Linked DNA regions of Macaca fascicularis. The protein of the gene in region 2 interacts with the protein of the main gene of each other region in a biochemical or structural test. Links are inferred from orthologs where the notes say so. Each region holds a gene or a part of one and is shown on either strand. Other genes may lie near its edges.

Region 1 (8,087 bases), on a different chromosome or scaffold from region 2:
GATATGGTTTGAGAAATGTGTCATTAGGTGATTTTATTGTTCAAACACCAGAGTATACTCACACAAATCTAGATGGCATACCCTACTGCACTCCTAGGCTATATAGTGTAGCTTATAGCTCCTAGGCTACAAAACTATACACCATGTTATTGAATACTGCAGGCAATTATAACATGTCAGTATTTGTGTATCTAGGCACAAGGTACAGTAAAAGTATGGCATCATAATCTTATGGGACCACCAAGGTATATGTAGTCTGTCTTTGACCAAAATGTTCATGGGGCACATGACTATCTGTACCATGTAATATAATGCACAAATACAGGTAGGCTTATGTATGTTGACAATAATTGTTATGTATATAGAATAAACCACATTTTAAAAAAACCCATAAAAATTAATATGCACATCTATATACAAGACATGGAAGGATAAATCCGTAATTGTTGATTTCAGGTGGGTGGGATTTAGAAAGAGCCTAAGGAAGGAGTAAATTAACTTTTAAAAAAGATACCTTTTGTATTTGAGTATTGTTTTATTAAACAAAACACAAAACCAAAATGAAAACTGGGCTTAGAATATAAAGTTCTCATTTTTCAAAGTGAAAGTTTGAAGATACTAGCTAAAGTTGATAACTTAAATAGTGGTAAAAGTAAATAACTTAGAATTATGGCAGCAATCACCAGAAGAAACAATTCTAACAGGGTGACTAGGGATTTGGTGGTAGACTTTTACTTTAAAATAGAACTACGTAGCAGATTCTCCATGATGACTTGGCTTACATGTAGTATGTCCTATGGAAGTAAAATTTTCAAATACCTCCATCACCTTCAGTAATTCGTATTAATAAAGTAAAAGCCAGGTACATAAAACAAGAACCAAGTATATAAACATATACATCGATTGGATCCCCAGGTAAACCAAAAGCAGTTTTTAAAAATATTCCCCACCATACCTTTTAAGACAACTTTTCCGCTACCCTACAGTAGCAAGTAACCACATTCAAATTAGTTAAGCTATAAAAAAGTAAAAGGGGCCATAAGCTTTATTAAAAGGAAATGCAACAGTAATATGTACAGATGGCACATGGTGCCAATTTTATTTGTAAATATATACTCCAACTCAAGTTTACAAGTTACACCTTTGCCACAGCCTTGGCTAAATCTTGAACTAGTGCAGAATTCAGCTGTGGTAGAGTGCTGATCTTAGCATGCTTCGACGTGGCATACTTGTTCTTGACAGTCTGGAAGACAAAAGGATAGCCATTAAAGAGGGGAAAAAATCACAAGATCCAATGATACAGGTATTCATTTAAAACATTAACTCATTAAAAATAAACCAGGCATTTGCAGGCATTAAGTTTGAATTATTAGACTTTTTGACATCTTACAATGCCACTATATTGACTCACCATGTGCTTTGTAAGTCCTTGATTTACCATGACTATATTCTTAGCCAGGTGCTGCATAACCAGAAGAAGAGATTCTTCAGTATATGACAGGTAATGCTGTAGAGTTGGTGTCTAAGACAACAAAAGTTAATGTTAAAAATGCTCAATCGATAATGATTTTCATAAAGTTTCTAGATGTTTGATGTTATTCAGGAGTGGGGAAGGGAAGGGTACTGTATCATTAATTAATATAAGTGAAATGTAAGACAAAGCTAAAGACTCCTCCTTTCCTAGGTGCTCTCATGCTTCTATAGGAACCTCTGCTCAAACACAATTGCACTATTGTAATTGTTGACTTGCCCACCCTAAAACTAGACTCTTCTTCCTTGAGGCCAACTTTGTCATAGTTCTATTCTTTTCTTTCTTTTTTTTTTTTTTGAGATGGAGTCTCACTCCAGGCTGGAGTGCATGGTGTGACCTTGGTTCACTGCGACCTCTGCCTCCCGGGTTCAAGTGATTCTCCTGCCTCAGCCTCCTGAGTAGCTGGGGTTACAGGTTTGCACCACCATGCCTGGCTAATTTTTGTATTTTTAGTAGAGATAGGGTTTCACCACATTGGTCAGACTGGTCTTGAACTTTTGAGCTCGTGATCTGCCCACCTTGGCCTCCCAAAGTGCTGGGATTACAGGTGTTAGCCACCACACCCGGCTGCATAGTTCTATTCTTAACACCTAGGGTAGTGCCTGCCACATAGGAGAGGCATTTGCTGAATCAATGAATATGAATGTACTATTTGTATGTCATTTGACCTTCAAGTTTCTCCTCTAAGGAGTAAAAGTTGCTCTACCTTTCTCAAAGGGAATACAGTTGAAATTAGGCAAAGAAATGGAAACACTTGACTGGTTGCAATGGCTCACGCCTGTAATTCCAACACTTTGGTAAGTGGAAGTGGGTAGATCGCTTGAGCCCAGGGTTTCAAGACCAGCCTGGGTAATATAGGGAGGCGCCATGTCTACAAAAAATATAAAGGTCAGCCTCCAGAGTAGCTGGGACTACAGACATGTGCCTCTCTCTCTCTATATATATATATTTGTGTATATATATGTATTTGTGTGTGTATATATATATATTTGTGTATATATATATATTTGTGTGTGTATATATATATATATTTGTAAAGATGAGACAGTCATGTACATGGTCTCCTGCAACAACCTGAATATATATATATATATATATATATATATATATATATATTTGTAAAGATGAGGATTTGCTACGTTGCCCAGGCTGGTGGGCGACTCTTGTAGTTTATAAGTGTGATGATTGGGTGTTCATGTGAACGTGTGAAATGTGCCACCCTCAAACCTTGTTACAACGTGGGCATATTACCCGTCTGACATGAAAAAAATTTAAAAACTAGCCAGAAACCTTCAGTCCCAGCTACTCTGGAGGCTGAGGTTGCAGTGGGTCAAGACTGCATCACTGCACTCCAGCCCAGGCGACAGAGCGAGACCTTGTCTCAAAAACAAAACCATGTGGAAACATTCTATGACATCTTTTTAAACTATTCCTTCAGTAGATCCCATATTTATGAATCACTTGAATTGCCCTTTAATAACAAAAGTTCTGTATTTAGTCAAACATTCTTTACAATTTAAAAGCTTAGGAGTTCTGTGGGACAGAGCTTACCCATTCACCATTATCCAGAATTTTCAGTGCTAAGCAAAAAGCTCCTGCTGCAATTTGAGAAGGAGGAAAGTGCACCATATCATAGTCCAACATAGTTAGTTCCATCAGGTATTTGGCCAAAGTATGTTGCTCAACATCAACCTGAAACAAAACCTGTGTCACTGAGTTTCTTTCAGAAAATTTTCATTTGGCACTAACCTGCATGCCCATATGTATCTTTTAACTACAAATGTTTGTCTACAAACTCTCAAATGCCCACGGAAAGCCCTAATATTAACATGCAGCCTGACTAAAAATAAAGAACAACTTTCTCTCTTCCCCATGTAGTTAGGTATAATATAAGGTCAGTTGAATTCGACTTGCTTGGTCAGCAGCAGTGTTCCCTAATGTACCCATACCGAAAGGTTTCTTAAGAAACCTGTACCTCTCCAATCTTAGATGCTCTCCGAAGGAAGTGCAAAGGTAGAGGCCGACCCAGACCAAAGTTTAAAGCTCTTAGAATCTTCATTTCCATCTGTCTGATTTGGTGCTTAGTGTAAGTATTGTCAGTCACAAAAGCAAAGTCACCAATTTCTGGAGGGTACATTTCTTCATATTTGCTTGCAATGAACATGGCAGTGACACCAACCAGCTGCAGCATCTTCTTGGGCACACAATTATTCTGCAATGGGAATTTCAACACAATGAATAACATGTTTGAAAAGGAGACACAGAGCTATGATGGAGAGGTAGAAAGACATTCTCCCATTGCAAAATCTTAAATTAATGATACCATATCCCCCAAGAAAGATTTTAGCTGAAAAAGTCAGTTTCTTTCTTTCTTTTTTTTTTTTTGAGATGGAGTCTCACTCTGTCGCCCAGGCTGGAGTGCAATGGCGCGATCTCAGCTCACTGCAACCTCCGCCTCCTGTAGCTGGGACGACAGGCGCCCGCCACCACACCCAGCTAAATTTTTGTATTTTTAGTAGAGACGGGGTTTTACTGTGTTAGCCAAGATGGTCTCGATCTCCTAACCTCGTGATCCACCCGCCCGCTGGGATTGCAGGCATGAGCCGCCACACCCGGCCCAGCCCAAAAACGTCAGCTTCTTATGACTCGGCTAGAATCCTGGAAGGGAAAACTTACTGAAATGCTTACCTGCATGAACCGATCAATAATGGAGACAGTCATGTACATGGTCTCCTGCAACAACCTGAATTTCATTTGAACCTGTACTAGCCAGTCAATTAGAATGGCTCTCATGTTTCCAGTGACTTCCCGACCCAGTAGGTATTTTGGTCTGACTGCTTGCTCTTCCTGCAAAAGAAAATGCCGATTATTCTTAGAAACATGACTCCATGTGACACATTTATGTCCAGAAAGATCAGTTAGTTCCTACAGTAAGTAGCACTGGGGCATTTAGAATCTCTATCAGTTCCTTTTTTTTTTGAGACGGAGTCCCGCTCTGTCGCCCAGGCTGGAGTGCAGTGGCGCGATCTCGGCTCACTGCAAGCTCCGCCTCCCGGGTTCATGCCATTCTCCTGCCTCAGCCTCCCGAGTAGTTGGAACTACAGGCGTCCGCCACCACGCCCGGCTAATTTTTTTTTGTATTTTAGTAGAGACGGGGTTTCACTGTGTTAGCCAGGATGGTCTCGATCTCCTGACCTCGTGATCCACCTGTCTTGGCCTCCCAAAGTGCTGGGATTACAGGCGTGAGCCACTGTGCCCAGCCTTTGTATCAGTTCTTAATTCAATTATTCATATGGTAACCACAAACAACACCATCACCAAGAAAGAAAGCAAACATTAAGGCTGGCGTGGTGGCTCATGCCTGTAATCCCAGCACTTTGGGAGGCTGAGATGGGCAGATTGCTTGAGGCCAGGAGTTCGAGACCAGCCTGGCCAACATGGCAAAACCTCTCTTTACTAAAAATACAAAAATTAGCTGGGCATGGTTGCGCACACCTGTAGTCCCAGCTGCTCAGGAGGCTGAGGCAGGAGAATTGCTTGAACCCAGGAGGTGGAGGTTGCAGGTAGCCGAGATTGCACCACTGCTCTCCAGCCTGGGTGACAGAGAGAGACTGTTCCCCCTTCACCCCCCCGCCAAAAAAGGGCAAACATTAGATAGGACAGTGTGACAGCTTTTTTATATTGTCAGGTCTTACGATATTCAATTCACCACAACTCTTGCTAGTCCACTCCCTTCCAAATAAAGATACTATACTATCATCTCAGATCTTTTCACTTGAGCCTCTAAAGTTAGAACCTGAGCTTTACGTAGAGAAAATATCAAACTCCCAGGGCAGCTGGAACCCATGTACTACAACACTCCTGCCTGCTCCAGGGTTAAAGCCCAACAGCAACATAGCTAAGAACTGTGGGGGACAAGAGTGACTTTATTTTAAATGCTAATCCAATGTGCCTTCTGCCTATTCACTTTAAGTTTGGCCTCTCCTCCAAAACAGCCCTTCATACTATTGTATACATTATAGGCTATGATGTCTGTAGCATTCTCTCAGCCACCCGCACATTGATTCTAGAGCACGTATACTTTCCCCAAGAAAATGTATACATACTCAAGCCGTGGGTATGAGGGGTTACAGTGCAGAGATCTACATCTTACAGCCATCAAAGACCAGACTTATGTCTGTAAATTCCCCCTCATCAGTCACCCAATACCAGCAAACTCCATTTATCTGCCTCATTCCTTGGTTTCTCAGCTCCTCTGACATTTGGGGGGTTGCTTTGCATATATGGCCGCCTTGCACAGAACAAGAACGAAGCATCAAGAAACAGCACATTTACAGGCTGGGCACGGTGGCTCATGCCTGTAATCCCAGCACTTTGGGAGGCCAAGGTGGGTGGATCATGACGTTAGGAGATCGAGACCATCCTGGCTAACATGGTGAAACCCTGTCTCTACTAAAAATACAAAAAATTAGCCAGGCATGGTGGCACGTGCCTGTAGTCCCAGCTACTCAGGAGGCTGAGGCAGGAGAATGACGTGAACCTGGGAGCCGGAGCTTGCAGTGAGCCACGGCACACCCCCTGGGTGACACAGCGAGACTGTCTCAAAAAAAAAAGGTATCCTCCAAAGTTAGAACACAACTTTAAAAAGCCCTAAAAAGATGGCAGAAGAAACTCAAAGCAGAAGGCTACTCCTGGCATAGAAGTCTTGCAGAAGAATCCTATAGAAAAAGGAGAGGCCCCAAAGGAGCAGGCAAGAGATGTCAGTGATGACATTAAGACGATGCATTAAAAACAACTGGGGGCTGGGCACGACTGCTCATGCCTGTAATCCCAGCACTTTGGGAGGCCGGGTGGGTGGATCATCTAAGGAGTTTGAGACCAGCCTGGCCGATATGGTGACCTCATTTCTACTAAAAGTACAAAAATTAGCTGGGTGTTGTGGTGGGCACCTGTAATCCCAGCTGCTCAGGAGGCTGAGGCATGAGAATCACTTGACCCGAGAGGCAGAGGTTGCAGTGAGCCGAGATTGCACCACTGCACTCCAGCCTGGGCAACAGAGCAAGACCCTGTCTCAAAAAACCAAAACCAAATAAAAATACAAAAAATTAGCCAGGCATGGTGGTGTGTGCCTGCAATCCCAACTACTCGGCAGACTAAGGCAGGAGAATTACTTGCTTGAACCCAGGAGGCAGATTGCAGTGAGCTGAGACGGCACCATTGCCCTCTAGCCTGGGCGACAGTGTGAGACTCCCTCTAAAAAAAAAAAAAAAAAACACACACACACACACACACACACACCAAAAAACTAGGTAAATGTGATAACGGTATAGTTGACGCTACTATGTTTATGCTGCCATATAGAATACTTGTGTTTGTAGGAAAAGGGCAAATGCCATTAAGAGAAAGTTTCAAAAGTGGGATCAAATTGAAGTGAACCAAAAAGTAGCTTTTGAGTGTACTCCTTTTGGGCACAAATAATTTCACCAACAACTGGACGCACATCAGCCACACTAACACAAAATGCCTTGTGTTAGGGGTGGCTGTAGTCTTTGAGTATATTCTACATTCTCATCCACTTGCTGACCCATTATTACCTAAAATGCAGAGTTTGGGACTTAACCATTCCAAATACGGTGGAGATTGCATATATACATATCAAATTCAATCTGTGGACTTTCCTTCAGAAAGACCGATAGTAGTATCCACCCTGACTTCGAACTTTCCTGCACAAAGTGGCAAATAGACTCCATTGATTTAGTGACTTTTTATTTTAGGTATTCCATGAAGGAGAATTTGAAAGTGCGATCTCTTAAGAAATGCTGCCCAAGTCCTGCTTGAATTATTATGAACTATTGATAGAAAAGACTTTCATAAAGTTAGATGCAGTTTAGAAAAAAAACTAATGATAATACTGACCTCAAGTTGTCTCAGATAAGCATAAATATCTTTCACATATTCACTACAAAGGTTTGGATCGGCTCCATCTTCTGCATCCACATCATTTACTGCAAGAATTACATCAGAGAAAGCCTGACACAGGTCTTCTTCTGCAGGGGCACATCCAGATGTTTCCATTGGGCTTGGAGAGGGAGTATCGACCTTAAAACAAAGAGATCTCTTGAAACAAGAGCAAATAGGAGTAAGCACTATAGTTTGGGCTTGAAGGTCAGGTTATTGGTACCAACTCAAGATAGTGTTCTCCTGAATCAACATACAATTCATTTCCTTAAAGGAAAAGTATCTTTTCATACTTATTCCATTTCTTTTTAGGAAGTGATTAACATCCAAAGTGATCATTTGGGTTGGGCGTGGTGGCTCACGCCTTTAATCTCAGCACTTTGAGAGGCTGAGGTTGAGGCCAGGAGATCAAGACAAGCCTTGGCAATATAGCAAGACCCTGTCTTTGTTAAAAAAGAAAGTGATCATTTAATTACTCAATTAAAAAGAATGAGGTCGGGCATGGTGGCTCAAGCCTGTAATCGCAGTTCTTTGGGTGGCTGAGGTGGGAGGATCCTTTGAGACCATGAGTTCGAGACCAGCCTGGGCAATATAGCAA
Region 2 (8,087 bases):
CGAGACCAGCCTGGCCAATGTGGTGAAGCCTCATCTCTACTAAAAATACAAAAATTAGCCGGGCGTGGTGGCGGGCACCTATAATCCTGGCTACGTGGGAGACTGAGGCATGAAAATTGCTTGAACCCAGGAGACAGAGGCTGCAGTAGGCAGAGATCACCACTGTATACTAGCCTAGGTGACAAAGTGAGACTCCAAACACAAAAAAACACACTATTGTGTATGCAAAGTAAAATCACATTTCTACCATACTACAAGAGCTCAAAGAGAGGCAGCACATCAGACCAAGAACGGCTGTCTGTAGAGGGAAGGGAACAGGTGAAAGGAGTACAGATAAAGGGAATAAAAAATAAATTAAGAGAATGGTCTTGTACAGACAAATGACAAAATGCCATGAACTATGTATTATTGATTTATATATAAAATGATATAAAATACCCAGCTGCTGTAAGTCAGTTGAAAAATCCTCACACTTACGTTATTTTCTGTTCCATAAATGTGTCTGGCTCCCGGGCAGTGTAGGATGTGATTTCCTGGCCCACGCCAAAGTCCTCGGACACTTCCACTCTCTTTTCTGGAGGCACAAAGATGGGGGCTTCGTTCACATCCAGCACATCCACGGTGACAGTGGCTGTGGAGGTGGTGAGAGAGACCTCAAAAGGCGCCACGTTCGTCACTGCCACGTGTAGAATGTACTGCTGCTTGGCCTCAAAATCCAAGCCCTAGAGAGCAGAAACAATGAAGTTAAAAACAAAACAAAACATTTTGTGTTAGTAAAAATGAAATTAAATCCTTAACTGTTGCTTTTGGTAATACAGTAGGTTGGTGCAAAAGTAACTGTGGTTTCTGCCATGACTTTCAATGGCAGAAACCATAATTACTTACCAGGGCTTCTCAGATCTGCTCACCTACTCAAGAGGAAGTCAAAGCTCTGGGGCTATTCTAGGGATCCAGTCACTTCAACAAGCAATTCACTCAAATTCTTAGTTTTCAAGTTTCTTTCCTTATTTTGTTTCTGAGACAGAATTTTTGCTCTTGTCACCCAGGCTGGAGTGCAATGGCTCACTGCAACCTCTGCCTCCCAGCTTCAAGCAATTCTCCTGCCTCAGCCTCCCTAGTAGCTGGGATTACAGGAGCCTGCCACTACACCTGGCTAATTTTTTGTATTTTTAGTAGAGATGATGTTTCACCATGTTGGCCAGGCTGGTCTCAAACACCTGACCTCAGGTGATCAACCCACCTTGGCCTCCCAAAGTGTTGGGATTACAGGACTGAGCAACTGTGCCTGGCTACCTTTTTTTTTTTTTTTTTTTTTTTAAAGAGACGGAGTCTCGTTATATTGCCCAGGTTAGAGTACAGTGCCATGATCATAGCTCAGTGCAGTGTCAACCCCCTGGGCTCAAGTGATCCTCCCACCTCAGCCTCCCAAGTAGTTGGACCCACCGCCATGCACTACTGTGCTTGGCTAGTTTTCAAGTTTCTAGGACATTTTTCAAAAACAACCATATCTGCCCCACTTCTAAAATAAACCAGCACAAGAGCAGAGACCAGTAAATCATTTTCCCTCTCATTGCAAAATGGAAAGAGCTAAGGGAAAGAGAATGTTTTGGGAAAGAGCCTTTTTCAATTTCAGGATCCTGTGTAAGAGCTTCTTGATTTCTTCTTTCTTTCTTTTTTTTTTTTTTTTTTTTTTTTGAGACGGAGTCTCGCTCTGCCGCCCAGGCTGGAGTGCAGTGGCCGGATCTCAGCTCACTGCAAGCTCCGCCTCCCAGGTTCACGCCATTCTCCTGCCTCAGCCTCCCAAGTAGCTGGGACTACAGGCGCCCGCCACCGCGCCCGGCTAGTTTTTTGTATTTTTTAGTAGAGATGGGGTTTCACCGTGTTAGCCAGGATGGTCTCGATCTCCTGACCTCGTGATCCGCCCGTCTCGGCCTCCCAAAGTGCTGGGATTACAGGCTTGAGCCACCGCGCCCGGCCTTTTCTTTCTTTCTTTCTTTCTTTCCAGACAGAGTCTCACTCTGTTGCCCAGACCAGAGTGCAGTGGCATGATCTTGGCTCACTGCAACCTCTGTCTTCCAGGCTCAAGCAATTCTCCTGCTTCAGCCTCCCAAGCAGCCGGGATTACAAGTGTGCACCACCACATCCGGTTAATTTTTGTATTTTTGGTAGAGACAGGGTTTCACCATGTTGTCCAGGCTGGTCCCAAACTCTTGACCTCAGATGATCTGCCCCCCTTGGCCTCCCCAAGTGCTGGGATTACAGGCATGAGCCACCATGAGCCATCAAGAAGCCTTAGCTTCTTGATTTCTTTTTTTTTTGAGACGAAGTCTCACTCTGTTGCCAGGCTAGAGTGCATGGCACGATCATGGCTCACTGCAACCTCTGTCTCCCAGGTTCAAGTGATTGTCCTGCCTTAGCCTCCCTAGTAGCTGGGACCGCGCTAGTAGTGGGAGCACGCCACCACGCCCAGCTAATTTTTGTATTTTTAGTAGAGATGAGGTTTCACTATGTTGGTCAGGATGATCTCGATCTCTTGACCTTGTGATCTGCCCGCGTTGGCCTCCCAAAGTGCTAGGATTACAGGCATGAGCCCCCACGCCCGGCCTCTTTTTTTTCCCCCCCGAGATGGAGTCTTGCTCTGCTGCCCAGAGCTGGAATGCAATGGTGCGATCTCGGCTCACTGCAACCTCCACCTCCCAGGTTCAAGCAATTCTTCTGCCTTAGCCTCCCGAGTAGCTGAGATTACAGACGTGTGCCACCATGCCCAGCTAATTTTTGTATTTTTAGCAGAGACTCGAACTCCTGACCTCGTGATCCACCTGCCTCAGCATCCCACAGTGCTGGGATTACAGGCGTGATCCACCACACCCAGCCCAGTTTCTTGATTTCTTACATGGGCAGGAAGAGCCACTGCAAACCCCACATGGTCCACTAGAATCTGGGAAAGTCACCCTGTCCCCCTGCCAAAGCGAATCTACTTCTAAGAAGATACCAGGGGACAAGGGCATGAACAGCTTCAAGGATGCCAGTTTCTGCATCTTGCCATATACCATACAAACCTTTGCTGTTTTCAAAATGCCATCGTTGGTCACTGGATTTGTGGTGACAACAAATTGTCCGTCATTATCATTCAATATAGTGTATACAGCCTCCCACGCTGGGGTATTGGGGGCGTCAGCATCAGTCACTTTCAGTGTGGTGATTACGAAGTTCGCCTGGTTCTCAGGCACCTGACCCTTGTACTGCAGAGGAAAGAGATGGGTCATTTACAAAGTACCAAGACTGCTAGCAGAGCTGAGTCTCAGGGGGCTAAAGGAATCCTCTTTTTTTGTTGTTTGAGACAGGATCTCACTGTCATCAGGCTGGAGTGTATTGGAGCGATCATGGCTCACTGTAGCCTCAACCTCCTGAGCTCAAGCAATCCTCCCACCTCAGTCTCCAGAGTAGCTAGGACCACACACATGCGCCACCACACCTGGCTAACTGAAAGCAAGCTTCGAGGAGCAGATGTGACGAGGAGAGACCAGGCAATGGGCACATTGGGTTGCAATGGTGCAATCTCAGCTCACTGCAGCCTCCACCTCCTGGGTTCGAGCAACTCTCGTGCCTCAGCCTCCCAAATAGCTGGGATTACAAGCATGCACCAACATGCCCGGCTAATTTTTGTATTTTTAGTTGAAACGGGGTTTTGCCACGTTGGCCGGGCTGGTCTCAAACTCCGTCCTTAAGGCCGGGCTGGTCTCAAACTCCAAACAGCCTTGGCCTCCCAACTTGTTGGGATTACAGGTGTGAACTACCACGCCTGGCCATTATACAGGATGATTTAAACTTCCCCTACTTGGTTCTCAACACCTTCTCCTTGAATGCATGTAATATCCTTGGTGTTCAATAACTCTCATAAGATGTCTTCCTAGCTATAGTAGAAACACCATGAGAATAGAATCTTTGTCTGCTTTGTGTGTGATGGTATCTCCACTGTCTAACACAGTGCCTAATATAAACTTAGAAAATACGTGTTCAATGAAGAAATGAAACCCAGTAATAGTTGCTATAAAAATGTACCATATGCAGATAGGAAATCAGTAGGTGCTTTCTGCAACTTCACAATCTTGAGCCAATTGGCCCCAGGCCAAGGGTGGAAAAAAGATGCTAAAAGACAACTGCCATCTCAAGATGCTTGCTTTTAAGTTTAAAGTTAACATTCACTAGTCTGGAGAGAGTTTTCAAAGACTTTGCCCATGAGCAGTGGTGAAACTTAGTTCACGAACAACAAAAGACCTTTCTTTGGAAACCCTCTGAGGAGTTGTAGAATTACCGTGGTGGGATTGAAGACTGGAGGGTTATCATTGGTGTCAGTGACTGTGATCACAGCTGTTGCTGTTGTGCTTAACCCTTCACCTTGAAGGTCAGCCGCTTGAACCACCAGGGTATACATAGGGAAACTCTGCAGAGAGATCAATGCAACCAAGTTAGGACCAGGACTACCAGCCACCTCTGGCCTAGCCCAGCCCAACACATGGAACCAGAATATTTAACCATCTGCTTCACGCCAGTCAGCCTGTCTTCTAGGCACGGAACCTCTGGGCAGAAGCTTAGATGCAAAGCTCAGACCAACACTGTATTAACTGACAGGTGGCCTAGCAGGATTTTGCTTTGTCCACGGGATTGAGCTAATATACATTTGTCCTCCACACCCTCTGGATCCTCCTGACATCTGACCTCTCGGTCCAGCCCAGTGGTGACCACACTGATGACTCCTGTGTTCTTGTTAATGGTGAACATATTTTTGTCAGGCAGCTCAGGATCTTGGCTGAGGATGCTGTAAGCGATGGCGGCATTGTAGGTGTTCACATCATCGTCCGCGTCTGTGGCTGTGACCTCCATTACGGAGGTCCCTGGAAGAATTCAAGGAGACGAAGGTTTAGACAAACTGACCCTTTGGGACAGGGTCAGTATTGCTTAATCCAATTCTGCCCTGAGGGATAAAGGAGGGGACATGGGGGTGGTACCATGTCAGAGTTCCCCCATTATCTAATTCCTAGAATTCTTACCAAAGTGCTAGGGGAGGAAGAAAGCTCAAACTATCAATTTATTATTCAGGTATAAATAGACAAATGGTAATGAAGAAAAGAAAGGGAATGATTACCACAAAAGTCAGGGTGCGGTTATCTTTTTTTCTTTTTGAGACAGAGTTTTGCTCCCGTTGCCCAGGCTGGAGCGCAACGGCGCAAACTCGGCTCACTGCAACCTCTGCCTCCCAGGTTCAAGCGATTCTCCTGCCTCAGCCTCCCAAGTATCTGGGATTATAGGCATGCGCCACCACGCCCAGCTAACTTTGTATTTTTAGTAGAGACAGGGTTTCTCCATGTTGGTCAGGCTGGTCTTGAACTTCAGACCTCAGGTGATCTGCCTGCCTCCTCGGCCTCCTAACGTGCTGGGATTCCAGGCATGAACCACCGTGCCCAGCCTAGGGTGTGGTTATCTTTATGGAAGAGAGAAAAGAATGTGATCAAGGGAGATTGTTTAGGACTTTAAGGTACTGGCAAAGATCTGTTCCTTAATTAGGAAGGTTGTTCTTAGCCAGGTATAGTAGCTCATGCCTATAATCTTAGCAGCTTGTGGGGCTGAGGTTGGAGGATTGCTTGAGGCCAGGAGTTTGAAAGTAGCCTGGACAACAAAGTGAGACCCTATCTCTATAAATTTTTTTTTTTTTTTGAGACAGAGTCTGGATCTGTCACCCCAGCTGGAGTGCAGTGGCGCAATCTTAGCTCACTGCAACCTCCACCTACCAGGTTCAAGCAATTCTCCTGCCTCAGCCTCCCAAGTAGCTGGGATTACAGGCACACACCACCACGCCTGGCTAATTTTTTCGTATTTTTAGTACACATGAGGTTTCACCATGTTGGTCAGGCTGATCTTGAACTCCTGACTAGAGGTGATCCACCCGCCTTGGCCTCCCAAAGTGCTGGGATTATAGGCGTGAGCCACCATGCCCAGCCTAAAAAAAAAAATTTAACAAGAAAAAAGGGAAGATTGTTCTTAAACTCTGTTTTATGTGTTTCCATAGGTAGACTGTTATACACATGCATATAACACAACAATGGCTTCCCAAGAAGTTCTGTCCATAGGAAGGGTCAGCTTTAGTTACACAACCTTCGGGGTTGGACAACACTTTGGGGTCCAAAGAACCTAAGAGTCTTTCTGGATATTCAGATTCTCATTAGTGGATATACCTGGAAGAGCACCTTCCATGACAGACCCCTTAAAGACCTCCTGGGTGAACACGGGCTTGTTGTCATTCTGATCGGTCACCGTGATCAAAATCTCCATTGGGTCCTCAACTGCATTCCCGTTGGATGACACAGCATGAGAGAAGAGCTGAAAGAACCAAGTGAGGGTGAATTGAGCTCTGATGAGGAAGAAAATGTGGCAGAAGGAGCCCGGCCAGAGCAGAGTGTACTCCCTGGGCTGCCACACCCTCCCACTCTCTGAGACCCCAGTGGGTGACTTTTCTCACACATGTGCTGCTGCTGCTTCAATGAGATCATAACAAGGTAAGACCCATGGAGTGGAACACCCCCACTGGCTCAGACCTCCCATTTCCCACATGAGGACCAGGGCTTCAGGCCTAGAGATAAAGGTGGGGTCCTGAAGAACTCTTATTCCATGCAGGGTGAAACTTGCTCTGGTCCTTCTGGTCTAGCATTTCCCCCAGATATTTCTGAATTTGGCATCAATATATGACTTCCTGGCCAGGCATGGTGGCTCATGTAATCTCAGCACTTTGGGAGGCCAAGGTGGGCAGATTGCTTGAGCTCAAGCCTGGGCAACATAGCAAGATCTTGTTTCCACAAAAAATACAAAAATTAGCTGGGTGTGGTGGCCTGCGCCTTTAGTCTCAGCTACTCAGGAAGATGAGGTGGGAGTGTCGCTTGGGCCCAGAAGGTCCAGGATGCAGTGAGCTATGATTGTACTACTGCACTCCAGCCTGAGTGACATAGGTAGACTCTGTCTAAAAAAAAAAAAAAAAAAAAAAAAAAAAAAAAAAAAATTCCAAAACCAAAACCAAAACAAAAAAAATGACCTCTTGGAGGCCGGGCACGGTGGCTCACTCCTGTAATTCCAGCACTTTGGGAGGCCAAGTAGGGTGAATCACCTGAGTTCAGGAGTTTGAGACCACTCTGGCCAACATGGTAAAACCCCATCTTACTAAAAACACAAAAAATCAGCTTGGCGTGATGGCAGTTGCCTATAATCCAGTTACTCAGGAGGCTGAAGCAGGAGAATCACTTGAACCCAAAAAGTGGAGGTTGTGGTAAGCTGAGATCACGTTATTGCATTCCAGCCTGGGTGACAGAGCAAAACTCTATCTCAAAAAAAAAAAAAAAAAAACTTCTTGGTTTCCTCAAGCTCTTGCTGCTGCCAAGCCCAAGAAATGGGTTTTGTTCCCTTTTATCATCACTGTCCTGTTCTTTTAGGTCAGGGACTTCCAGCCCCAAGAACAGGTTGACATCTTGAGTCTAAATTTGCCCTGGTTGTATGAGGATGCATGGGGATTCTCCTTCCTTTCTTCCTGACAAGGAGAAAAATTAACAACCCCAAACTGTCCCACATTCTCCCATCATTTCTCCTTAGCAACAGGTCAAGAGGTGTCAAGCTCCTCATGTGTTCAGAGCCTCTGATCTGGAGATCCAGCATGGGTTGACCAAAAAATCCTGGATGGATGTTACCCCAGTGTCAACAAGCTTCTAAGAGATACTTACAGTGTATGTGGCAATGTTTTCTCTATCCAGAGGCTCTGTCACTTTCAGCCATCCTGTTTCTCTTTCAATAATAAAGACGCCAACAGGTGGTGTGTCAGCTCCTTGGCCAGTGATGCTGTAGAAAACCTTGCCTTCTTTGTCTTTGTTGGATTTGATCTGAAAACAAAACGAAAGAAAAAGTATTAGTAAAGAAGGATCCCAACATTCGGTCTTTTCCCTTTCTCTCCTTGGTACTTCTCTGCCAAATTCCTCCCAGAGAAATAGAGAACTTCTTTCTCTACCTGAACCAGGTTTTTAGGAAATGGGCCTTTTTCATTTTCTGGG
Region 3 (8,087 bases), on a different chromosome or scaffold from region 2:
CAAATTCCATGTCTTAAGAATAATGAGGCCAGGCGCAGTGGCTCAACACCTGTAATCCCAGCACTTAGGAGGCCAAGGCGGGCAGATCACGAGGTCAGGAGATTGAGACCATCCTAGCTAACACGGTGAAACCCCGTCTCTACTAAAAATACAAAAAATTAGCTGGGCGTGATGGCGGGCGCCTATAGTCCCAGCTACTCGGGAGGCTAAGAGCAGGAGAATGGCGTGAACCTGGGAGGCGGAGCTTGCAGTGAGCCGAGTTCACGCCACTGCACTCCAGCCAGAGTGAGACTCCGTCTCAAAAAAAAAAAAAAAAGACTAATGAATCCATGGTAAGATTGGAACAAATATCAACTCATTATACTCAACTCCTCTCTTTCCTTCCTTCTTGCCTCCTCTCCCATAGCTTTGCCTTTGGTTCTACCATGAGCGCTCAGGGGCTCCATTTAGCTCATTGACAGCACTCAAGGTTAAAAATTCCTCATCTCAAATCAATTATTTCTAACTTAACCCAGTCATTCTTCCCATCTTTGCAATTACTACGACGGTCCATTACAGATTAAACGTTTATAATTTTTATATCCATGGAGAGCTGTGAACTTTGGACTCACTGTATTGATGAATATAAAGATCCAAATTTCTTATAGTAAAGTGTAAAAATTATCTTTTCTTTTCTTTTGGAGACGAGTCTCTGTCACCCACGCTGGAGTGCAGTGGCGCGATCTCAACTCACTGCAACCTCCGCCTCCCGGGTTCAAGCGATTCTCCTGCCTCAGCCTCCAGAGTATCTGGGATTACAGGCACCCGCCACCATGCCCAGCTAATTTTTGCATTTTTAGTAGGGACAGGGTTTCACCATGTTGGCCAGGCTGGTCTCAAACGCCTGACCTCAGGTGACCTGCCCGCCTCAGCCTCACAAAGTGCTGGGATTACAGTCATGAGCCGCCGCCCCCAGCCTAAAAAGTATCTTTCTTAGTAAAGGAGCTTCTTTTAAAAGTGAGGTTTAAGTCTCAGGCACTGTAGTGGTCATTTATGGTTCCCAAATTTCTGCTCTAGACTACCATCAGGACCTTATTCTATCCTCAAGTAACCTGAATAACTGCCTTAACAAGTAGTCCTTTGTAAGTTACTGCTGTAATACTATACAGCTTCCCAATACTTTCACAATCATTTCAGTCTGTAAGTTGGAAAAGAGAGGACAATAAACATATTACATAAAGTCTGCTGTTAAGTTACCAAATATCTTATCTTTGTACTATGTTTATGAGACCTTTGGAGACTGAGAAGATAACTTACCCCGAGCTGGACTCGTTCTTTTAGGGAAATCCACTGTGTCATTTGCTGGATCCTCTATGGGTTTTTTCCCTATAAAAACGAAAAAGGGCAGGAAAAGGGGTAAGTCAGTTTAAAATAGAAAAGATTCCACCTGGCACATTTTTCATTCTTCGGTCAGAACCTTTTGATCACAGATGCACCACGAGGGACAAAGGGCAGGTGGGGGCAACTTGTTCCAGCAGGGGACTATTCAGAAACAAGGATAGAAAACAGGCAGCAGATAGGTAAGATGAGGATGACCATTGTTGATGCTATTGTCCTGAGCTCTGATAATGGGGACTGCTGCCCAGAAACAGCATGCCATGAGCTATTAGCTCCAAAGAGCTAAACCTGTTTCAGTGTCTTCCTCAACTGAACTTTCCTACATGCATAGACAGGGAAAGGTTAGGCAAGGACATACTAGGGAAGCTAAAACCAAAACATGCAAATTAGAAGTAGATAAGCACCTTAAAAGACTCCACTCACCTCTGGAGAACCACTCATCTTCCAGTGCATCACCCAAGGCAGAAAGCAGAGAAGAGAAAAGAAATAAGAAAAATGCAGGAGAAAGATGTCAGCAGAATCATGGGCAAATAAGCAGGGAAGCACAGAGAAGAAAAGAAAAACACAGAAAATGCAAAGGACGTATGGGGAAGAAGGTCCCAGATTAGTTGAGTTCTCATTTTCCACTGCCCCACTCATTGATACCACCACCACCACCACCATCACCCCACCACCAAACCTTGAATGAAGCACACAACACAGGAGAAGCAGCAAAGCAAAAAGACATCTGTAACCAGGCAGACTCCCATATTGCTTGCCAAGTATTTTGTATCTTAAGCTAAAGTGTTCCTTCCTTTCCCTGTCCCACATTAAAGAGTAAGAAACAGGAACCAAGACTCACCTTTGCCCTTCTTGGCCCCAAAGCAACTGGCAGCATGTGGCCCAGTATTGTTGGCAACATTGGGAGCTGCCTCTTGGTAACGCTCTGCCTGTGGGATCTCCCGGTGAACTTGATATGATAAGTTCCGAAGGAGGCAAACACAGTTTTCTACAAGCTTAGGTACACAAGATAAAAGGGCCAATGAGAAAAAAGAATGTCTGTTGTGATTTCTCCACAGGTTTCCATGACTCAGGTATTAAAATGTTGATATTCAAATGCATAACCCAATCCATAACTTCTCAGGATGCCTCTTAAGCGCTCCAGGCTTCTTGAAATCCCTGTAGCCTCAGGCTAATGGAAGGCCCAACTATGGACTTATTGGCTTCTGCCACTATTTGGTGTGTGACTGAAACTTGGATCATCATTCTTACTACTTAGACAATGTACAATTTTGGAAGACAGCTAAGCAGCTTTAAAATATATAGGTGACAGATTTTTAAAAAAAGAAAAAAAAGCTGGGCACAGTGACTCACACCTGTAATCCCAGCACTTTAGGAGGCTGAAGCAGGTGGATCACCTGAGGTCGGGAGTTCAAAACCAGCCTGGCCAACATGGTGAAACCCTGTCTCTACTAAAATACAAAAACTAGCTGGGCATGGTGGCAGGTGCCTATAATCCCAGCTACTCAGGGGCTGAAGCAGGAGAATCGCTTGAACCCAGGAGGGAGAGGTTGCAGTGAGCCGAGATCATGCCAATGTACTCCAGCCTGTGCGACAGAGCCAGACTCCATCTCTAAAAACAAACAAATGAACAAAACACATGTTTTCTTTTAAGTTGAATGCCCACTTTAAGGAGTAGGGGCTTGGCTGGGCACAGTGGCTAACGCCTGTAATCCCAACACTTTGGGAGGCTGAAGTGGATGGATCACGTGAGGTCAAGAGTTTGAGACCAGCCTGGCCAACATGGTGAAATGTACTAAAAATACAAAAATTAGCTGGGCGTGGTGGTGCACGCCTATAGTCCCATCTACTTGGGAGGCTGAGGCACGAGAATCACTTGAACCCAGGAAGCGGAGGTTGCAGTGAGCTGAGATCACATCACTGTACCCCAGCCTGGACAACAGAGTAAGACTCTGTCTCAAAAATAAGGGGTAGGGGCCAGTAAAAATAGTTAACATTACTTGAAAGCCTGAGATGATAGGTCTCTGAGCTACAGATACTTCATAGTTCTGGTGAATGGAATTCACTCAGTCATTAAAGGTAAGACAAGCACTTACCTTGCTGTCTGAATCCTTCTGCCCAATCTCAGCCTGAACAATGAAAATGAGGGCATCAACTAAACCATCACATTCCCGAAGTTTCCGGCGAGCTTCACTCCTCTCTGAGCTTACATTCCTGAGGGGAAACCAGAAGCTTCAAGATGACTCAAATCCAGAAATCCTCCCTTAAATATCCCTCAACACCTACAAGATTCCTGAATATTTTTTTCTACTCACTATAATAGCGAATACTTATCATAAGCAAGGTACTGCAGTTCAGAGAAAGTTGATTAACAGTCCCCACCTTCTGAATGTCTGTATCACTGTGGGGTAGGGGTTAATGATATATACCAGATGCAGTAATTCAAGATGGAATATACACTTCTTGTATGGAAGTATAATACATATGTAGAACAGAGCACACAGAGGTGTATTCCAAAGAGAGACAGATTATATAGCAGCATGTATAGCATATAAAAATAAGTCAGGAAAATTTTAATAAAATAAAGGCACTTGAGTTTAACTACAAAAAGATAAATAAGAAGAGAAAGGCATTCACGGAAAGAACAGACCTTCCTCACCCATGCCCTAACCTCCTAGTGCTCTGTACCTCTTTTGCTGCATTTATCACAGCCTGACTTGAAATACAGATAACTAGGGCAAGGACACAGACAAGTCCAGGACTAGACCACCTTACATGTGGTAGATGCTGAACAAAAGCTTACCAAAGTAGATGAACAAAGTCAAAGAGGCATAAAAGTGAAGAGGATGTGTGGGGAACAGCAAGAAAACTGACATAGGTACATGTGGTACGCATAAGAGAATAGCAACAAAGGTAGAAAGACAGGTTGGAGTTACAGTATGCAATACAGATAGGAATGGAGGCTAAAGAATAGGCTAAAGAATTTTAATTGTTTTTTAAGGAAATTTAAGTCAGTCCTCAAAAATTCACCTTCATATTCTCAAAGCCCCTATTGTTACCTAAGGCAGCCAGCTGTGTTGGTGAGCACCGATTCCCACTCAATATGGCGTGGCTTACAGTCTTCATTAGGTTCCCGCTCCCAACCAGAATGAGGAATGATCACTTCATCTGTCAAGGCATGCAGTGCATGGTCCACAATCTCCATTTTGATTGAGTCATGGGATGAAAGATTCCACAGGGTTCCTGGAAGAGACAACTCATCAGATGGCTCTTGAGCATTCAAGACAACATGTCTGAAGAACATCAAAGAGAATCCCCTATTATATCATTTCTCAGTCTTCCCCAGTGACCAAATACCTTGTAGTAATATTCAAGTTTTGTTTGTGAACCTCAGCAAGAAACATGTTCTATATTACAGCTCAAAATAAACATACAGATCATGAAATAAGGTTTTGTAAAGCAATATTTAACGATAAGCAATGCTCTCCGATCTATCTATACCAGAGTTTTTCAACCTCAGCACTACTGACATTTTGAGCCAGATAATTCTTTGCTATGAGGAGCTGTCTTGTCTATTGCTGGATGTTTAGCAGTATACCTAGCCTTTACTCACTAGATGCCAGTAGCACTCCCTCTCCCCTGTTCTAAGTTATAACAACCAAAAACATCTCCAACACTACAAATGTCCAAATGTCCTCAGGGCAGGACAGGCAAAATGGCCCACAACTGAGAAGCAATGGTCTATATTACTTTTTCTTTATTCCTTTCCCTTGGAATGCTGATTATGCTCCACAAAATTGTGTTTTATTCACTAATGGATCACACAAATAGATCACAACCCACAATCTGAAAAACTACTGCTCTAAATAAAGCAAGGACCACAAGCTTAAATGTCTATATGGGCCAAGCAGGTGAGTCAAGAGAGGAAGATATTTAAAAGAAATTACAAGCATGTGAAAAAATAGCAGTTGACAGCTCCATGTTTGGGAAACAACATCCTAAACGGCTGTAGTTGGTCAGATAATAGAATGTGTTGGAGATTAGTGTAAATTAGAGAACACATGCTCCAATCAGTTCAGACCAAATACTGCTAGAAAAGAAAAGAGATCCATTGTTAACAACTTTTCCACATTTTTAATAGAAGCCAAGAATCTGGAATTTTAAGTGAAATCTTCTGAATTTTAAACATCAGCAACCAGTTCTTTAAAATTTCAAAAATGCTGTGTGATCCAAACAAATCTGTGAGATGGATTTGACCCAAGGCCACCAGTTCACAACCTTTCATCAAAAGTAAAAGGTCTGGAAATCCCTCTAGTTCTTAACATCACTAGAGAGTAACAGTGACTTAGCAATTTTCCTTAGGCCTAGAACTCACCGGTAATGACTTCAGTAAGGTCCATATCACGAGCCTTTCGGAGCAATCGCACAAGGGCAGGCACACCATCACAGTTTTTTATGGCAATCTTGTTATCCTGGTCACGTCCAAAAGAGATATTCTTGAGAGCTCCACAGGCTCCAAGGTGCACTTCCTTTTTGGGATGGTCTAACAATCCCACCAGTACTGGGATGCCCTTGAGCTTCCGCACGTCAGTCTTCACCTTGTCATTGCGGTAGCATAAGTGTTGCAGGTATGCAGCTGCATTGGACTTGACAGCATCCAAGCGGAATCCAAGCATGGCGATCACCTCTGGCAGCTCTGGCTGTCTCCAATTAGGAGGTGGGGGCCCTCCTTTGCGCAGGCTATCCAAGCTTGCTAAACTTCCTCGCTCATGCTGGGCCAAAGGAGCCCAATAGTATTGATCCGATGGCACCTCCTCACCAATCATGTCTTCGTAGCTCCTGAGAAGTTTTGGAATAACCAAGAGAATACATCAAGTCATTATGGCTAGCTTCCTGGACATTCCCATTACCCTCATCTGCAAAGCAGGATTAACTGGAGTTTCAGTGTGCTCATCTTCTCTCTCCTTTGCATGAATAATATACTGATCAATTTTCCTCAATGGGTTAGGAAAAATAAAAGGTAATAATCTTAAAGGCACCTACAATTTAATTAAAACTACACTTTTTTCTTTGAAGTCTGCAGGGTTAGAAAGTAACAAGCATTCAGGAGAGGCTAATCAAAAAGAAAGAACCAAATCCTTATTATTTATCATTTACTTGAATGATACCTGACAGCTATTAACTTTTCTAGGTAGAGATCAGGATAAACTCTCAAAAAGCAGAATTAACCAAAGCAACTGACTCAATGCCACAGAAGTCTGAGAACAGTTCCTTAACCAAACAGGAAATTAGGCATTTACACACAGGAAACAACTGGCGGGTTAAGACCTTTAAATGCATTTCATATTTAAGCTTCTCCTTATCCTATTTTGGAAATTATAAAAGATGGATTGATAGAGAAAAACTAATAAAGGGCTTCCTGCTACATTATAGGAGGATCTGGGTTTGGTACTGATGAGGTATAAACTTGAAAAGTAATTTTCACAGTCATCCCAAGGTCATGTCTGCTACTCAACAAATGTGTTAGCGGTAAGATTCCATCCTCCAATTTCTAAAGACAGTACCTCCAGTTCTTTCAAAATTGAGCCTATTCACCAACATCACATTTGGGAAGCCCAGCCACTAGGAACAGAGAAAGCAATTGAAAGTAAGAAAAATCAAACCAGGAGACAATTCTTCCTGTTTCAGTACTACCAACAACCACTAGAGGGTGAGTCTGTCACACTATTATTTATTCATAACTACCAGGAAGAAAGAAACCCATTATCTGTGAGCTCATCTCTTCTGGCTCCCACAGGAGAGGAGAATCTATTGTGTGGAGCTCTCCAAATAAGCCGTTGTTTGTTCTACAAAACCACTCCCACTGTCACCAAATACTCAAAGTTGCCCTGAGCAGAAGGGCTGCCTCACAGGTATCAACATCAACTATGCAACAGTGATTCAGATGGACAAAGTATTTAGTAAAACATGACCAAGATGGTCTTAAAATAACACGGAAACAGGACCAGGCGTGGTGGCTCACATCTGTAATCCCAGCACTTTGGGAGGCTGAGGTGGGCGGATTACCTGAGGTCAGAAGTTCAAGACCAGCATAGCCAACATGGCAAAACCGTATCTCTACTAAAAATATAAAAATTAGCTGGGCGTGGTGGTGGGCACCTGTAATCCCAGCTACTTGGGAGGCTGAGGCAGGAGAATCACTTGAACCCAGGAGGTGGAGGTTGCAGTGAGCTGAGATCGCACCACTGCACTCCAGCCTGGGCAACAGAGCAAGACTCCATCTCAAAAAACAAACAAACAAACAAACACAGAAACAAAATGAATAGCTTAGATAGCTAAGTTTTAAAAGTAGGCTATTGAGCAGTATGTTAAGATTTCCTTTTTGTAGAGGGAAAATAGGATACAGTTACATGTACAATAAAAAAACCTCAAAGGATATGCACCAAAATGTTAACAGTGGTTCTTTATTAATAGATGGTATGCTTTTCTGGGTTTTTCAGGCTCCGTATTGAACATGCTTAACCTCTATTATTAATATACAAAATTATAAGAACAATTACCATAACCAAAATTTCCAAATAACTCTATCTTATATCTTTTTCTATATAGAGGCAGTGGATTGGGCATTCTTTCCTCTGTTTTACAAGTAACAAAGCTGTGCCCAGGAAGACCAAATGACTTGCTTGAGGCTACTTAGCTAGTGGCAAAGG

What was found.
Region 1: of the proteins of CDH1 (region 2) and CCNB1, one has a biochemical effect on the other in vitro, tested with the Homo sapiens proteins (3 studies listed by BioGRID). The link is inferred for Macaca fascicularis from reciprocal best matches to the Homo sapiens genes CDH1 and CCNB1.
Region 3: the proteins of CDH1 (region 2) and CTNND1 form a complex in vitro, tested with the Homo sapiens proteins (5 studies listed by BioGRID and IntAct, with this or other methods). The link is inferred for Macaca fascicularis from reciprocal best matches to the Homo sapiens genes CDH1 and CTNND1.

What each region holds. Positions count from the first base shown.
Region 1 is NC_088380.1:74,834,200-74,842,286, reverse strand, and holds the end of CCNB1 (G2/mitotic-specific cyclin-B1), read right to left. Parts: intron 7,631-8,087; coding exon 7,448-7,630; intron 4,379-7,447; coding exon 4,220-4,378; intron 3,744-4,219; coding exon 3,507-3,743; intron 3,224-3,506; coding exon 3,083-3,223; intron 2,793-3,082; exon of another isoform or gene 2,691-2,792; intron 1,523-2,690; coding exon 1,412-1,522; intron 1,244-1,411; coding exon 1,136-1,243; 3' UTR 516-1,135; downstream 1-515. UniProt on the Homo sapiens protein: Essential for the control of the cell cycle at the G2/M (mitosis) transition.
Region 2 is NC_088394.1:64,895,357-64,903,443, reverse strand, and holds part of CDH1 (cadherin-1), read right to left. Parts: coding exon 8,045-8,087; intron 7,920-8,044; coding exon 7,764-7,919; intron 6,379-7,763; coding exon 6,234-6,378; intron 4,896-6,233; coding exon 4,720-4,895; intron 4,445-4,719; coding exon 4,316-4,444; intron 3,243-4,315; coding exon 3,060-3,242; intron 723-3,059; coding exon 478-722; intron 1-477.
Region 3 is NC_088388.1:15,794,989-15,803,075, forward strand, and holds part of CTNND1 (catenin delta-1), read right to left. Parts: intron 6,217-8,087; coding exon 5,753-6,216; intron 4,621-5,752; coding exon 4,437-4,620; intron 3,592-4,436; coding exon 3,474-3,591; intron 2,373-3,473; coding exon 2,219-2,372; intron 1,819-2,218; coding exon 1,801-1,818; intron 1,366-1,800; coding exon 1,297-1,365; intron 1-1,296. UniProt on the Homo sapiens protein: Key regulator of cell-cell adhesion that associates with and regulates the cell adhesion properties of both C-, E- and N-cadherins, being critical for their surface stability.